Linked DNA regions of Caenorhabditis elegans. The protein of the gene in region 1 interacts with the protein of each later gene in a pairwise test. Each region holds a gene or a part of one and is shown on either strand. Other genes may lie near its edges.

Region 1 (9,128 bases):
AGAAAAATGCCGAGCGGCTTCTCGTACGGCCGTTGTTTCAACGCGTAGAGCCTGTCAGAGTACTGTAGTAGGGTGGAGATTCCGTAGAGAGTGTCGGTTGGTAGGGCGACGATTCCTGGAGAGGAGAATTGGTCGAAGGGGTACTAGGGCTTCCAGGCAGGCAGTGAAATGCCTGCCTGTCTCCCGCCTGCCTGCCTATCGCCTCAATTGGCGGCGCCTTATTACTAGAATTGAGAAAATTCGAAAATTGTAAATTCTTAAAAATGAAAAAAAGAGCGAAATGTCGGGGTGAGGCAGGCAGGCATCAGGCAGGCGGCGCCTGCCTACCATGAAAGCCCTAGGGAGTACGGTAGGGGTACTGTAGGAGGCGGGGTGCTAACCTCCTCTCAGAAATACGCAAACCGCCGCGTCAATTGCCTCCTCAATGTTGTCGGCGGTGAGCCGTAGAATTCGGCCGCCGGCTGTCATTTTTTTTTGGAATGCTGAAAATTTGTACTCCTCTCGGAAAATCCTAATTTTCGAAAATTTGAATTTTTGCATAATTTTTTGGCTTTAATTTTCGTGTAGTCCTCTCGGACAACTTGAATTTTCAAAATTAGGAATTCGAATATTTTCGAAATGAATTGTACTCCTCTCGGAAAATCGAAATTAGATTTTTTTAAAATTTTTTCGAAATGAATTGTACTCCTTTCGGACGATCGAAATCAGGTTTTTTTTTTCAATTTTCTCGAAACAAATTGTAGTCCACTCGGAAAATCGAAAATTGAATTTTCAAAATTCGGAATTCGAATTTTTTCGAAATGAATTGTACTCCTCTCGGAAAATCGAAAGTAGATTTTTTTTAAAATTTTTTCGAAATGAATTGTACTCCTCTCGGACAACCTGAATTTTCAAAATTTTGTGTAGTCCTCTCGGACAACCTGAATTTTCAAAATTTTGTTTTCGTCTTTTTCAAAAAAAAATTGTACTCCTTTCGGACGATCCGAATTTTAAGAAATTTTGGTTTGAAAATTAGCTTATCAAAAATTTGAAAATTTCGTGTACTCCTCTCGGACAAACAAAATTTGCAAAATTCGAACTTTTCTGTTTGTGTTTGTGGGTTTTTGCAATATATATTTTTTTTAATCTAAATTCGATTTTCCTGAAAATGTAATTTAAGAAAGATAGAAAATTGGCTGTGGTAGTAAACCATAAAATTGGAGAAAAAAATCGAAAAAAAAAATCAATAAAATTCGTACATATGTATATGTTTAAATCAAACTTTCGAGAAAAAAAAGGGGAATTTATGAGCCGAAAAAGGTATAGAGAATTAAAAGAAATTAGAAAATTTTCAAAAATAATATTTTAAAACAAAAAACCTGAGATATTCTGGGCGGGGGAGATGTAATAATAATGGAAGAGATAATTCAACCGAGATTCAAAAAAAAGGTACACTGTGACGTCATCAGGGGGGGGGGGGGGGGTTGAAATCGTGATGCAAGCGCGCTCCACGGCCAAAAATTTGAATTCCTCGTGTTTTTATTGAGGTCTCATTTCAGCTTGATCTACGTTGATCTACAAAAAATGCGGGAGAAGAGATACAAGAGAGTTCTCAACTGATTTCGCATGGTTAAGAACGTGCTGACGTCATACTTTTTTACTTTTTGTGCAAAAAATTCCCGCATTTTTTGTAGATCAAACCGTTATGGGACAGCCTGGCTGGCACCACATGGCACAAAAAAAAACGAAAAATGATTGCCGTGGAGCGCGTTTGCAGCGCGATTCCACCAAAATTCTCAATTTTTAACAAAAAGAAAACCTTTTTAAAAATAACACAATTTAAAATAAATTCAAAAATTAATCAGAGAAAAAGTCCATAACACTGACGGGCTCCTCGTCTTCCTGGCCGCTGGCTCCGGCTCCGGCTCCAGTGGCTCTCGACGGTGTCGTAATATTAATATAACCACTTGTCAGATCATCGGAGAAACTCGGCAGAATACACGGATCGATAAGTGACTTGAATGGACTGAAAAAGAGCCCACGGCCTGGAGTTTCTGGTAGATATGGAGCATTTGATTGTGAAGCTGATGTGGATGGAGGGAGCACAAAGGTTTCTGGAAAGAATTTGGAAATTTGGAATTTTTTGCCGAAAAAAAAAAGACCATTTTGTGGGCGGGGCATAGCTAACCACGCCCACAAAATGGTAAGCCCACGTGGTGTCAGGTTGTCCCGTTTCGTTGTGATCTACAAAAAACGCGGGAGAAAAGGTGCAGAGCTCTCAACTGATTTCGCATGCTGACGTCACATTTTTTGGGGAAAAAATTCCCGCATTTTTTGTAGATCAAACCGTGATGGGACAACGTGACACCACGTGTAGGCACCTTTTTTTTTTTTGGGAAATTCCGGCCGATGATTTCTGGAAAGAATTTGGAAAGTTGGAATTTTTTGCCGAAAAAATGATCATTTTGTGGGCGGGGAATAACTAGCCACGCCCACAAAATGGTAAGCCCGCCCCATTTTTTGTGATCTTTTTTTTTTTTTGAAAATTCCGGGCGATTTGGAAATTTTTTCCGAAAAAAAGTTGCCATTTTGTGGGCGGGGCATTAAATGGGAGGAGCTTCACAGACCACGCCTACAAATTGGTAAGTCCGCCCACTTTTCCGTGCCTTTGCGGCAAACTCTGTCTCAAGAAGTTTTTTTTTCGGAAAATGCAAAATTTTCAATCTCAAACCACGCCCACAAAATGGACACTTTCTCGGCGAAATGTTAACGCTCCGCCTCTTTTGTGGGCGTAGCCTCCTACGCTCCGCCCATTTTTCTGTGCCTTCTCGGAAATCATATTTTTTTCAAATTAAAAAAAAAAAAAACTTCGGGCGACTGTTTCTGGAAAGAATTTGAAAAATTTTGCCGAAAAAAAGTTCCCATTTTGTGGGCGGGGCATAAGAGCAAGCCACGCCCACAAAATGGCAAGCCCGCCCCCTATTTTTTGTGACCACTTATTTTCGGAAAATTCCGGGGGGGCAAAAGTTTCTGGAAAAATTTGGAAATTGGAAATGTTTGCCGGAAAATTGCCATCGGACGATCGAAATTTGATTTTTTTAAAATTTTTTCGAAATAAATTGTACTCCTCTCGGACTATCAAATTTTTTTTTCAATTTTTTTCCAAAATAATTGTACTCCTCTCGGAAAATCGAAATTTGATTTTTTTAAATTTTTTTCGAAATAAATTGTACTCCTCTCGGACGATCGAAATTAGATTTTTTTAAATTTTTTTCGAAAAAAATTGTACTCCTCTCGGAAAATCGAAATTTGATTTTTTAAAATGTTTTCGAAATAAATTGTACTCCTCTCGGACAATCGAAATTTTATTATTTTTTTTTCAATTTTTTTTCGAAATAAATTGTACTCCTCTCCGATAATCGAAATTTGATTTTTTTTAAAATTTTTTCGAAATAAATTGTACTCCTCTCGGACAATTGGAATTTTTAAGTCATTTTCCTGCGATTTTTTTCAGATTTTTTCCGAATTCTGTGAATTCCTCGCACCCAAATCCTCGGTATCAATTTCCTCCGGTTCTTCTAATTTGATGTGTTTTGGTGATGATGAGATTGTTGTGGGATCTGTTAGCATTTCAGCTAGGGTTACACGTAATGCTTCAGATGTCTCAAATCTTTTTTGTGATGATAATTTTTTCACATCGTCCTCGTCCTCCTCATCGCCGTACTCTGGCGGATCATTTGTGAAGAGCAACGCGTGAGATTTGACTCCATTCTTATTCCGAACTATCATATCGTGTGAGCCACTGGTGCTCGGGTCTGTTACTTGGATCTGGAAAAATGGCCCGATTTTAAGCCAATATATGGGCGGCGGAGCCTATTATTGATTTTTCTTGTGGATTTTTGGGTTGCAAATTTTCAAAAAGTTGTGGTTTTTTTTTGAGATTTTAGCTAAAAATTAGCTGAAAATTTATGTTCTTAAATTTTTTTCGAAATAAAATTTAAAAATCGCCAAAAAATCGAACCTCAAAGGAGCTGCTCGTATCCAGTTCTGATTTTACGATAATCGATTTTGTGTTCGGCTCGGCGGTTTTTCGAATGTCTTCTTTGCTCACATAACTGAAAATAGTTCTTTTTTTTATTTAAAAAAATGATAAACAATTTTTCTCATTTTATTTGTTAAATATTTCATTTTTTTCCATTTTTTAAAATTATTTTTTTCAGTTTTTCTTTCATTTTTTCCTTATTTTGTCCAAAAATTGGAATTCTCTTTTTTCTTACTTTCTCAGTTGAAACATTTTTTTTTCACTTTTTTTCAATATTAATGTAAAAAATGAAAAAGAATGAAAAAAAGAAAGAAAACACTTTTTTTTTCATTCTTTTTTTCCTTTTTTCTCTTTTTTTTACAATTTTTTTCCTTTTTTCACTTTTTTCATTATTAATGTAAAAAATGAAAAAAGAATGAAAAAAGAAAAAAAACTTTTTTTCCTCTTTTTTTCATTCTTTGTTTCCTTTTTTCTCTTTCTTTTTTCCTCTTTTTTCATTCATTTTTTTCTTTTTTTCACTTTTTTTCATTATTAATGTAAAAAATGAAAAAAGAATGAAAAAAGAAAAAAAAAACTTTTTTTCCTCTTTTTTTCATTCTTTTTTTTCTCTTTTTTCATTTTTCCTTTTTGCATTTTTTTTTTTCATTATTAGTGTAAAAAATGAAAAAAGAATGAAAAAAGGAAAACAACTTTTTTTCCTCTTTTTTTCATTCTTTTTTTCCTTTTTTTTTTCTCTTTTTTCATTTTTCCTTTTTTCACTTTTTTTCATTATTAATGTAAAAAATGAAAAAAACTTTAAAAAAATTTTTTTTTCCTTTTTTTCCTCTTTTTTCATTCTTTTTTTTTCTCTTTTTGTTCATCTTTTTTTCTTCATTTTTCTCTTTTTTTCATTTCTTTTTCAATTTTACTCAAAAATTTTAGAAAAAAACAAACTTATAGGGCCGCTCAATTGGATCCTCAAAATGGAGCTCAATAATCGCTTGAGCATCTCGTATCATCAGTTCGAGCAGCTTTTCCTGTTGGCGGAGCATCTCGACTCGGGCCTCGAGCGCGTTTTGCTCTTCGGAATTGTTGTTGTCTCCACTGGAAAAAATAGGGAAAATCGAAAAAAAAAACATTTTTTTTCATTCGAGAAAGAATGAAAAAAAAATTAAGTAAAAAATGCCTGAAATGAAAAATGAAAAAAAGAGAAAAAAACGATGAAACATTTTTTTTCCTTTTTTTTTCTTTTTTTTTTTCATTTTTTTTTTCCTTTTTTTCTTTTTTTCATTTTTCTTCTTTTTTTTCTTTTTTTCATTTTTCTTCTTTTTTTTCTTTTTTTCATTTTTTTTTCCTTTTTTTCTTTTTTTCTAGTATTTTTTTTTTCATTTTTAGACAAAATTGGAATTTCATGAAAAAAAAACCCGTTTTCAACCAAAAAATTGCAGATTTGTCTATATTTTCAAGTGGAAGTTGAAAATTAAAGCAATTTTCCAACTTTTACCGGGAAACACTTTTTATTAAAACTTCAATCATTTTTACGGAAAATATAGACAATTATGCAATTTTTCCGTTTTTCTCGAAATTTTGACTGGATAACAGTTTTTTTTTTGAGAAATTCCTCTGGAAAATCAGAAAATCAGGAAAAAATTGGCTGAAATTGTGATTTTTAGCCAAAATTTCGGGAAAAATCGGAAAAATATCAGTTTTTGAGCCAAAAATTGCAGATTTGCGCATATTTTCTTTCAATATCATCGAATTTTAGTGGAAAATTGGAACTTTGCTTTAATTTTCAATTTCCACCTAAAAAATTCGGAAAACCCAGTCAAAATTAGCTGAAACAGTGATTTTCAGTCAAAATGTCGAGAAAAATCAGAAAAGTAGCAGTTTTTCGGTCAAAAATTGAAGACTTCTGAATTTTTGCTCAAAATGATTGAAATTTCATTAAAAACTGCCTGAAAAATCAAATTTCCAGAGAAAATTTGGAAAATTGCTTTCATTTTCAACTTCCACTTGAAAATATAGACAAATCTGCAATTTTTTGGTTGAAAACGGTTTTTTTTCATGAAATTCCAATTTTGTCTAAATGTACGCGATCGTACTCTTTGCCCCGTGACTCACTCGCAATCCTCACATTATTAATGTTGTTTTGTTATCTTTTGCACCATTCAATTATGATTGCATTCCTATCCCCCGTCATTTTTACTTATCTTATTGATTCTCCGCCTACTTCATATTGTATATAAGCCATCACCTATCTGATGGCTCTATCCTTTCATTTAATATCAATAAATGATACAAACCCCAGCCAGCTCTGAACTCGATTACTAAAAATGAAAAAAAAATACTAGAAAAAAAGAAGAAAAAATGAAAAAAAGAAAAAAAGGAAAAAAAAAATGAAAAAAAATGAAAAAAAGAAAAAAAAAGGAAAAAAAATGAAAAAAAAAATGAAAAAAAGGAAAAAAGGAAAAAAAAGAAAAAAAAAGAAAAAAAAATGAAAAAAAAAGGAAAAAAAAAATGTTTCATCGTTTTTTTCTCTTTTTTTTTTCATTTTTCATTTCAGGCATTTTTTACTTAAAATTTTTTTTCATTCTTCCTCGAATGAAAAAAATTTAAGAAATTGAACAAATTTCACTCGGAAAAACCGGGAAAAATCGCACTAACATCCATCGAATATTATTCTTCTCCACCTTCTCCACATAACCGAGCCCCTCGAGCACATTGATGACGTCATAGACGCGTCGTTTCGAGATATTCAACTCTTTGGCCACTTCATTCAAATTGAGCACCTCATTCCTTTGCCGTAGGCTCATGAATCGTTGTGTAATGAGCCCAAGTGATTGCTGACTTCGAAATACTTCTTTGGGACTTCCAGCTGCTGCTGCTGCTCCGTCCTCGTGTTGTTGTTGCTCCGAGCCACCGGGTATTGAGCCCAAGTCTATTGACGAGGGATCCATACTTTGCATAACAGAGATCTGCAGAAAATTGATTTAAAAAAGGAAAAAAAAAGAGAAAAAAAGAGAGCATATTTTCTTTTTCTTTTTTTTTTCATTTTTTTTTCATTTTTTTTTTTCATTTTTTTCTCTTTTTTTTTCTTTTTTTTTTCTTTTTTTCTTCTTTTTTTTTTCTTTTTTTTTCATTTTTTTTTCATTTTTTTTTTCATTTTTTTTTCTTTTTTTTCTCATTTTTTTTTCATTTTTTTCATTTCTTTCCTTTTTCTTCTATTTTTTCTTTCTTTTTTCATTTTTTAAACCATTTTTTGCCCACAAAACGGTTGAGCTCGAGAAAATCACAAATTTTCAATTGAAATCCATGTTCAGAGCGGTTTTCATGCGAAAAACTATAACTTTCTGAGTACAGTGTGCAATAAGCCACGCCCATTTTATGGGCGTGGTCTGGTTGGCTCCGCCTATTTCTTGGCATTTCTAAAATTTTGAAAATGCTCAATTTAACTCATATTTTCAGTGACTTTTTCAAGAAAATAATGTTTTTCTCCGATTCTTAGTTTTGGCCACGCCCCTTTTCTGTGGGCGTGGTATCGTTAGCTCCGCCCATTTTATGATATTTCGAAAATGTTAAAATTTTCTATTTAAATCATATTTCCGGTAGAGTTTTTCACAAAAAAGTTTTTTTTTTTAATTTAATTTTTTGAACTTTTTTTTTCTTAATTTTAACCACGCCCCCTTTGTGTGGGCGCGTTCTGGTTGGCTCCGCCCTTTCTTGGCTTTTCGAAAATTTTGAAAATTCTCAATGTAAATCATATTTTTGGTGGTGTTTTTTTTTTTAAAGAAAAATGATTTTTTTAATTTCGAAAAATTTTCAATTTTTGACCTGACCACGCCCCTTTTCTGTGGGCTTTGTCTTTTAGCTCCGCCCATTTTTTGGCATTTCGAAAAAGTTAAAACTGTTCCATTATTTCCGGTGGTGTTTTTTTACAAAACAAAAAGTTTTTTAAATTCAATTTTTAAAATGTTCTCAATTTCGACCACGCCCCTTTCAGTGGGCGTGTCTTGACTAGCTCCGCCCATTTCTTGGCATTAGTTAAAAATGTATAATGAAAACTAATTTTTTGTGTTGTTGTTAACAGTTAAAAAAAACACTTAAAAAGTATTCAAATGCATTTTTGACCACGCCCCCTTTGTGTGGGCGTGGTCTGGTTGGCTCCGCCCCTTTCTTGGCATTTCGAAAATATTTTTCTTTCAAATTTTAACTGAATTTTCATGTAATTTTAAGAGAAAAAACAATGAATATTTCCCAAAAAATATTAAAATTAATTTTTTTAGCTTTAAACATTTAGGAAAAAAATTTCCGTTAAAAATGACCATTTTATGGGCGTGGCTTAGGTTTTGCTCCGCCCTTTTTCTAGAACTTTTTTAATTTAAAATAAAAGTAAAATTAAACTGGAAAAAGATATAAAAAGCGTTGAAAATTAACGCATAAATGGGCAAAAAATGAGGAAAAATTGGGAAAAAATGAGAAAATATTTATCAAAAAAAAAAAAAAAAAATTTTGCAACAAAAAAGACAAAAAAAAGCGAAATCAACATTTTTTTTTTTGGAATGATTATTTCTTTCCCTCGACCATAATCACATGATAACCGAACTTTGTCTTGACTGGGGGGTCCGTGTAGATTGGCTTGTCGCATGAGCTGTTCGACAGGGCAAATGCGGCGTCCTGAAAATTTTTTTTTGGAAATTTTTGTGGAAAAAATTCTAAAAATTGCCTAGAAATCTGCAATTTTAAGCATTTTTCCGGTGAAAAAATGTGAAAAATTGGTGTATTTTTATTAAAAATATTTTTTTTTTCAATTTTTTGGAAGTTTTGAGATAATTTTCGGATTATCGATTTTTTTCAAAAGAAAAACTTAATTTTTGTCGATTTACGCAGCTCGTGTAGTCCACGAGGACAAGTGATTTCAAGATTTACACTTTTTTTTGTATTTCTCATTCAAATTGTCCATTTTTTTTTCTAATTTATGCCGAAAACGAGAAAATTTAAGATTTTCAATTTTTAAAACACTATAAAAATCAAATAAATCATCGACAATTTTAATGATAAATACTCCAAATAATCAGAAATTTCAGTCAAAACTGGAAGAAATCACGTTTCTCCTCGAGGAGTACACACA
Region 2 (8,401 bases), on another chromosome or scaffold:
TCTTAACCAGTTTATTCAATTCAATGCACAACATCCGAAATGGTATTTATGTTTTGCATATTGCATTTTCTTTTTAAGATTTGCACCGCCTTGCTCTATTTTGACAGTTTTTATCTCGGTTGATTTTAGTTTTATCTAAAAATTTTCAACTGGCATAATACGTACAAAGTTTTTTTAAATATGTTTTGATTGTTGAAGATTTTTGATAAAATTTATTACAACAGAAGTATAAGCCGTCAAAGTATAGCAATGATGTGCAAGTAAGGAGCACTGGAAAATACGGTAAGTTATACAAAATCTTTATATGTAGTAGAGTTGAATAGCTTTACTTTACAGAAGCTTTCATCAACTATATTAGAAGAAAACTTTCTAATCACTACCGCTACCGTAATCTTCCCGGTTGCAAAACGAGTAAGGCGTTGTCGGCTTTCTCGACGGGGTGAAAACAGGGGAAGCGTCTTGACTGATTAGTGATCGGTCGGGTTTTTGGTATTTTCGAGTCATCCCGACAGAGTTATTCCATCGTTCGCCACCACATCTTCTTCATCTCCAAAACTTCTTCACCGTTTTTGTGCGGCGACGATGCGATCTGGGAGGGCGCCGCCGTGATCGAGAGAACGGAGAGATAGAGGGGATGGGTGGGGACGAGAGTGTTGTGATGCGCAGACACACCGGATCGACGCATCCCTACCGGCGACGGCTACTGACCGGCCGGGTCACTTGCGTTCGGACGACGACATGCGAGGTAGGTCATCTCACGTCTTCTTCATCTTCTTCTTCTCTCGAAGATGTTGGTGGAAGGAGAGAGAAAGAGATGCAAAAAAACGGGGAAGGGCATGGCCCGGCGACCGGACCCGCTAACCCGGTCACCCCGTTTTCGGCCATGGCTAACCCAAAAAAGATTCATTTTTGCCGATAGGACAACAATTAATTCAGTAGTTCGTTTCAAGATCCATGATCCAGGTTCTAGGTTCCAGATTCCAATTGAAAGGTTTCAAAATGTGTTTGTGTTGTCTAACCAATGTTTACCATCTATGTTATGCACGTTCCACTGTTATCAAGTCTATCAAATTGATCAAAAATGCCTATATTTCACGGTCACTCTGCCATTGCCCCATAGTTGGACGAGATAGAGACCACCACCTTCCTCTACCGTAATACTCTTCAAAATGCCCTTTTGAAAAGATGAATTGTGAAGGAGGGAACAGCCCAAAATTGAAGAAAGAATCGACATTTCAACACTTTGAAATGATGTCGTAGTTCGTTTTTGGCTTCTTTGTGTGGATTTTGATTATGTTTCAGTTTTACAGTATCTTATACGCTTATAATTGTTTTTTTTTGGACTTTAAATTATTTTTACCATCACCGTATTTTTCTTTTCTTTAGCGCAACTTAAACTTATTTGCTTTTCCTTTCTGGTATTATACTGAGTTATTTATTATGTGATTCCTATTTATACTGTAGTTTTATTTATAAACAATTCCCGGTTCCTCCTTTGACACTTGAAACTTCTAGTTTAAAAAGTCTCACAGTACTGAAATCCATTACTCTACTTTGTCAATTTATATCTGGACTAATTTTACAAATATCAAAACACAGTCAACTACGAAGCAATTTGTGAATTGATAACTTTTCGATGAAACAAAATGAGATATAAGCTAAAAAGGATATGAACAATGTGGCTCAATTATAGTACGGTATCTATTTTGCACCCAGTACCAAATAAATAGTCGTACCCAGTAAATGGAGCACAAAAACCATGCTTCAGATTTTCGTGCGCCCTTTTTCATTTATGAGAAGATTCGTTTTCCCATTTTCTGTCGGATTAATACTGATTTGAAAATTTCAATTTTATTACTGTGTCTATTTTGCAAAAGTTACACTTTTCAGTTATGGTATATTTTGATATTTGAATTGTACTATTATTTTGTTATAACTCAACATCTTGAAACTGTGCAGGATATTAAAAATACTTATCGAATGGTTTTTTTCTTATTTGTGGTCGTGTTCTGTTCTTTTCCGAAACCACATTCCCTCTTTTGTAGATTAAGATCAGTATCTCAAAAAGATCTCTGATTTTCTCTCCCTCTTTCTCGCTTTACTTCTAGATATTTACTTTCACTATTTATTTTATACATCTAAATTTATTATGTAAGGAGCACTAAAAATAATTTTCTCCCCCTTACTAAATTTTTCCTTATTGGTCATAACTTCAACTCAATACGGACAGTCTTTATGGCCCGCACGAGTCAGTACCAGTGCGGCAGTTATAATAAGTATTAATGGTATCTCATCTCCTCATCGAGTTATTATTCCCAATTAAGTTCGTCTCACATCTTGACCTTGAATTCAGTTTTCTTTATTCCCCTTTTTAAGTTTACACTTACTATTAAATTGCAAAAATCTTAAAGCACAGCTTTTTGGTTTTTTTTACTTGAAATTACATTCTAATTATCTCACACAATGTACTTTATCAGTGACTAATGAGAGTGGGGGTAAGGGACACCTTTTCCCGTCCAGCCGCGTGTCACCGAAAACCGGTATTCTCTACCATTAGGTGGTCACTGTCGGTACCAGGTGCATGTTCTCGCTTCGATGGTCTTCAATGCAACATTTCAATGGTCATTTCGAGAGTTTAGCCAAACAACATCAAAACCATTTTCACTCATTTCGAAAATCTTGAAAAAAGGTTTTTAAGAAGATCAGGGGTCAAGGCACATCAGAGCGCATGGCATGGCCTGTAAGGTCACTGGCCCAAATCGGCACCTCACTTCAGTTCTCGAAATGTCATCGTTCGTGTAGTGAGTTGTTTTTCTGTTTACGTGGCACCTCGGCGGGTGTCCTGAAATCTTTTGATCTAACTCTAGACATTTGAAGCAATCCGTAATGTTCTAGCATACTGTAGGGATGTTTCAATTCAAAATGGAAGTTTCGAAGACTATCTAAGATGGCTGAAAGTTTCTGAAATTTTGCACATATTTTTAACCAGATTTCGGGTGTTCTTCACCGTTTTTGCCATCAAATTCACTTTTCCCAGTTTTCCGCGGCGGTACCATCACGTACTTGCTGTGTATACGTCTCCGTCTCTCTTTTGTCGTTTCGCATGATCAGCGGAAAGTACAATTTACGAAATTGCAACCTCCCGTCGTCGTCGTCGCTGCCGCTGCCGCCACCACCATCATCGCAAACCACGTCGTCTATATCCTGCCTCACACAGCGCGACGACGTCGACGACGCGGGGTCCTGTCACCTCCTGGCGGGAGGCATACCGTACCGTTCGCGCGCAACACACCGTGCACAGGTACCGAGGTCACTTCTCGAGATGAAGAAATAGCGCGGAGACGTACACACAATTGTCTTCTTCATCTTCTTATTCCTACGTCTTCTTCATTTCCTACCTTGTTTCTCAGTATTCCCATATCCTCCATCGTCACCGTCTCTTCATTCTTTCAAAACACTGTAATTGTTATGAGAGGAGCGGTGAGATGGGGATAAAGTTGAGAATAGGCAGGAAATGAAGGATGAGCGGTATGATGAGGAAATATGAAATATGTTGCGAATATATAAGACCTGATAATTGTGGTCCTAGGAAACGAGGTTGAAAATCGAGCCGATATAATAAAAGAGTTGGGGACGACGAGATTTTTATCTGAATCAGAAATGAGTGATGCTATTCGAAGTGAGATTGATATAGATTTTATATTCTTGCCGTATACATTTTCTGATTAAAATTTATGCACAAAAACATAAAGAACTCCCGAAGCATATTTCTCTTGGCGGGTTTTCGTCAAATTTTTCATTTAAAAATACCAAAAAGCTGAGCCATTTTTTTTGCGTTTTAGGCGAGACATTAAAATTTCCAGTTTCACCAAATTTCTTTTGAAGAATTCCATTTGCAAAACAATGCAAAAACAAAATTTTTTTGTTTTTTTTCAAATATTTGAACTTCTGCGTTTTTAATATTTATAAATATTAAAAACGCAGAAGGTACGGTGTGCTAAGAGTGTTTGCGGACTTTAGTTCATTTTATGTCGCCTACCGTAGTCCGCCTCGCTGATATTCGTTTTTTTTTAAATTCATTTTTGACATAAATATTTTGTTTTCAACCATTTTTCTCAAATTTAAATTTAGAATTCGAAAAAAATCTTACTATTCTAATCTAAAATATGCAATGATTCAATTTTTAAGGCTAATTCCCCCCCCAAAAGCAAATAACAATGAAAAAAAATGTTCAGCAGGAATTTAAATATTTATTTTGCGTGAATTTTTTTCCTAACTATAAGCTAGTTATTATGTTTAGATTATATCTTATTGATAAAACCTAAATAATAATAATAAGTCACGTTAAGATCCACGGCTGGTTTTTGTTTCGAAATTTCAATTAATTTCAATTTATATCCTCCAGTAACTAATAGGTGAGTTTCTTAAGCTCTGCGATTGCATGGCATTTCGTAAAAAAAAAACGTTTCGCAAACTGTTTCTAGACGTTCAATCTTTCCGCGTATCCTATCATTACTCGCTTAAATTGTAGTCCGCCTTTCTTGATTTTATCTTCAGCTGGCCTCGATCGCGACAACAAGCTCACAATTTTCCGATGCAAGCTGTAGAGCAGAAGTTGGCTGATGCAACACGAACTCTTCATGCAAAGTCATCTCTTCAACCATCACTCTCAATTGAAACTCCAAAAAGCAAGGAAAATGATGAATCTGGATGCGAGAGTTCAAATTGCATGTTTCATCCGCATACGATCAAATCGGAACCAAATTTTTGTTTTGCTCGGGAGTTTAAGTCAGTTCCCGATGATTTTCGTATAGGCGGCGGAGATCTTCAAATGGGAAACAATTCCAAAAGATTGACATGTGTTATTGATACAAATCGAGTCGATATGGCCGGAATTCTTCCTGATAATATGAGCTTCCGGGGACTTCCCGAAAACAAATCTCTTCTGGGTATGCACGTATTTTTTGTTCATTGTCCTACTAACCTTTAAAACCCTTGAAATTTGGAATTTGGAACCGAACTCTGAAAAAAAACACTCCAAAATTGTGATAAACTGAACTTTTTAAAGATTCTAAATTTACTTTTTCAGTATCAGCGCAGATAGAAGTAATACCATGTAAAGTGTGCGGTGACAAGTCGTCTGGCGTTCACTATGGAGTTATCACATGTGAAGGCTGCAAGGTATGCCTTTTTACCAGAATTACTTTATTTCTTATACATTTTTCAGGGCTTTTTCCGACGCAGTCAATCATCCATCGTCAATTATCAGTGTCCGAGACAGAAGAATTGTGTTGTTGATAGGTATCTCAGTTAGGAATGTTACAGAAATTTAATATCGTATTTTCAGAGTGAATCGAAATCGATGCCAATACTGCCGTCTCAAAAAGTGTATTGAGTTAGGAATGTCACGGGATGCAGTTAAATTTGGACGAATGTCAAAAAAGCAACGAGAAAAAGTAGAAGATGAGGTATTTACATTCCCAATTCTAAACTTCGTATTCATGTCATCGTTTTTGTCTGTTCAATCCTTAAAGGTTCAGGTTCGAATGCATAAAGAATTAGCTGCAAATGGTCTTGGATACCAAGCAATTTACGGCGACTATTCCCCTCCACCATCCCATCCCAGTTATTGGTAATTATCACCTACATTTTTCTGTCATGCAACGTCATTTTCAGCTTTGATCAAAGTATGTACGGTCATTATCCATCTGGAACTTCAACACCTGTTAACGGATATTCTATAGCTGTTGCTGCGACTCCTACGACTCCAATGCCACAGAACATGTACGGAGCAACACCATCATCTACAAATGGCACACAATATGTTGCACATCAAGCCACTGGAGGAAGCTTCCCATCGCCACAAGTTCCAGAAGAAGACGTTGCCACTCGCGTTATCAGAGCTTTCAATCAGCAGCACAGTTCCTATACAACACAACATGGAGTTTGTAACGTGGATCCTGATTGTATTCCTCATTTGAGTCGAGCTGGTGGTTGGGAGCTCTTCGCTAGGGAGCTCAATCCGCTTATTCAAGCAATTATTGAGTTTGCCAAAAGTATTGATGGATTTATGAATCTTCCGCAAGAAACACAGATTCAATTGCTGAAGGGAAGCGTTTTTGAGTTATCACTCGTTTTTGCTGCTATGTATTACAATGTAGACGCGCAGGCAGTGTGCGGTGAAAGGTATTCTGTTCCATTTGCATGCTTGATTGCCGAAGATGATGCCGAGGTATTTATTTTCATAGAGTAATATCGGCTCATACTCAATGTTTCAGATGCAATTGATCGTTGAAGTTAATAACACTCTTCAAGAAATTGTTCATTTACAACCGCATCAATCCGAATTAGCTCTTCTTGCCGCTGGACTTATTCTGGAGCAAGTGTCTTCTTCTCATGGAATTGGGATTCTTGACACTGCGACGATTGCCACTGCAGAAACACTGAAGAACGCGTTGTACCAAAGTGTCATGCCAAGAATTGGATGCATGGAAGACACGATTCACCGAATTCAAGATGTTGAGACAAGAATCAGACAAACAGCTCGTTTGCATCAAGAGGTATTATTTGCTGAAGCTTGGATATAAATAATCTGGAATGCTTAATTTTGAGGTTATTATTTTTCTATTTACAGGCTCTTCAAAACTTCCGAATGTCTGATCCAACATCATCTGAAAAGCTTCCTGCCCTCTACAAAGAGCTATTCACTGCAGATCGGCCTTGACTGAATCCATATATCATCAATAGTTTTATCCATGCTCTCCTTCCCTATCCCCGTCCATGAATCTCGTTTCCTCCGGTTATTTGTACAATAAGAGTAGACCAAAGCGCCGTTTGAACCCAACGACACCATTTTCTTTCCTTCTGTGATTTCCTTTCCCGACATTCCCCCCAAAACCCCAGTCGTTTCCATGTTTTATCAGAAAATTAATAGAAAAATAATTGTAGTCGTCTGTTGCAGGAGAGTTCCTCATTCTTTCTCTCCTTTTCCTGTTTTTAAAGTGATTTACTCGGATCTTCTTTACTTACTTGTTCTAATTTATTAATGACTTTTGTCACCCCCCCCCCCCCCCTCGTGTACCATGTACAATCATGTTGCGTTCCATGTTTTCTTGCATTTCATGTTCAGTAAAATTTCTGAAACCATACCAATCTCTCTCTTGTCTTATCATTTCTCTTCAGGTATTGATGCCTCTCCCCATCCCATCCCATACTCTTTTCGTGATCAACACGGGTACAAAACCACAAATTTCCATTTATCTGGATTTCTAGGCGCACTAATTTTTATTTTATTAAATATCTCCCCATTTATTGCCTTTTAAAACTCGTATCATTCCAGTGTCTGCGCTTTAATTACGCCTTCTTACCCATTTGATCCAACCATTTTCTCGTTTATGGTGTAGTGGTCGCTTGAGTGTTTCCATTGTTTCATGTAACATCCTAAATATGTTTCATTGTCATCAATGCATTCAGCTCCATACACCGACTTTTTAATTTATTTCACTTTCCTCTCGGTTCTACCTGCCCCACAACATCTTTCTCTGTTAAATATAATCTCTTTTTTTTTGGTTTTCTCAGTGATAAAACGTCTCAATTTTATATTTTTATTTTTCTGGTTATTCTCCGTAGAATTGTTCCTAATTAATATTTACTTTTTATTCCGATTATTTTCCAAAAATAGATACAACGCGTGAGTTTTAAGACGTGAGTTCTAATTAAATTTCCAACACTACTTTATGTTTCCACGAGGCTCTCGTTATCATAAATTTGTCCACTTTAGAATAGAATATACTCATATATTTATATCATTTTTTAATTTTTTACGAAGTACTTCATCAATGATTTTCGTAAGTTGAAATTGAATTTAAGCTTTAGATTATTTCTGGATCTATCAATTATATTTAGTCAAACATAATAGTGTCAGTTTCAGGAATTCAAAGTTTTTTTTTTTCTCCCACATTTCCAAATGTGGTTTTTTTTTAAATTTATAATATTTAGCTTAATATTTCGACCATTTTATTATACTATAACGGTACCTATCCCCAAATAAATCAAATAAAATATTTCAGATTTATGTGTTTTCTTATTTGGCATGGATTAATTTACCGATAGAGACAAAGGCAAATAAATGTGGAAATGATTCTATGGAATTGTATGCAGCGGGAAGATATGACAGGTTTCTTCTATTCAAAACCTTTTTAGCATAAATTTATTCATTTTTCAGCGAGCCTTTCAAAATGAACGAACATGATATTATCCAGCTCTACGGGGAAGATGTCCAATATGTCAAAAATGCGTTTCTATCTAGCGACTCTACATGCAACAACAATGTATATTCTCTTGAAGAACATGAATTGGATGACGACAAGAAAAATCTATCAGGAGTTCTTGTCGAATACAA

The links.
Region 2: the proteins of efl-2 (region 1) and nhr-23 interact in a two-hybrid assay, tested with the Caenorhabditis elegans proteins (one large-scale study listed by BioGRID).

Annotation. Positions count from the first base shown.
Region 1 is NC_003280.10:13,403,989-13,413,116, reverse strand, and holds efl-2 (Transcription factor efl-2), read right to left. Parts: upstream 6,978-9,128; 5' UTR 6,958-6,977; coding exon 6,665-6,957; intron 5,105-6,664; coding exon 4,955-5,104; intron 4,095-4,954; coding exon 4,001-4,094; intron 3,808-4,000; coding exon 3,525-3,807; coding exon of another isoform or gene 3,490-3,524; exon of another isoform or gene 3,433-3,489; intron 2,094-3,432; coding exon 1,837-2,093; 3' UTR 1,222-1,836; downstream 1-1,221. Other genes in the region: Y48C3A.18 (Threonylcarbamoyl-AMP synthase), read right to left, coding at 1-115, 381-468; pinn-4 (Peptidyl-prolyl cis-trans isomerase), read right to left, coding at 8,564-8,674.
Region 2 is NC_003279.8:7,214,229-7,222,629, forward strand, and holds nhr-23 (Nuclear hormone receptor family member nhr-23), read left to right. Parts: upstream 1-2,555; 5' UTR 2,556-2,733; coding exon 2,734-2,801; intron 2,802-4,557; coding exon 4,558-4,949; intron 4,950-5,089; coding exon 5,090-5,181; intron 5,182-5,227; coding exon 5,228-5,301; intron 5,302-5,347; coding exon 5,348-5,468; intron 5,469-5,534; coding exon of another isoform or gene 5,535-5,540; coding exon 5,541-5,632; intron 5,633-5,676; coding exon 5,677-6,232; intron 6,233-6,278; coding exon 6,279-6,560; intron 6,561-6,634; coding exon 6,635-6,724; 3' UTR 6,725-7,000; downstream 7,001-8,401. Other genes in the region: Metal transporter cnnm-4, read left to right, coding at 8,145-8,176, 8,225-8,401. UniProt on the Caenorhabditis elegans protein: Orphan nuclear receptor. Transcription factor. Modulates expression of target genes, such as Period protein homolog lin-42 and microRNA let-7, by binding to hormone response elements (HRE).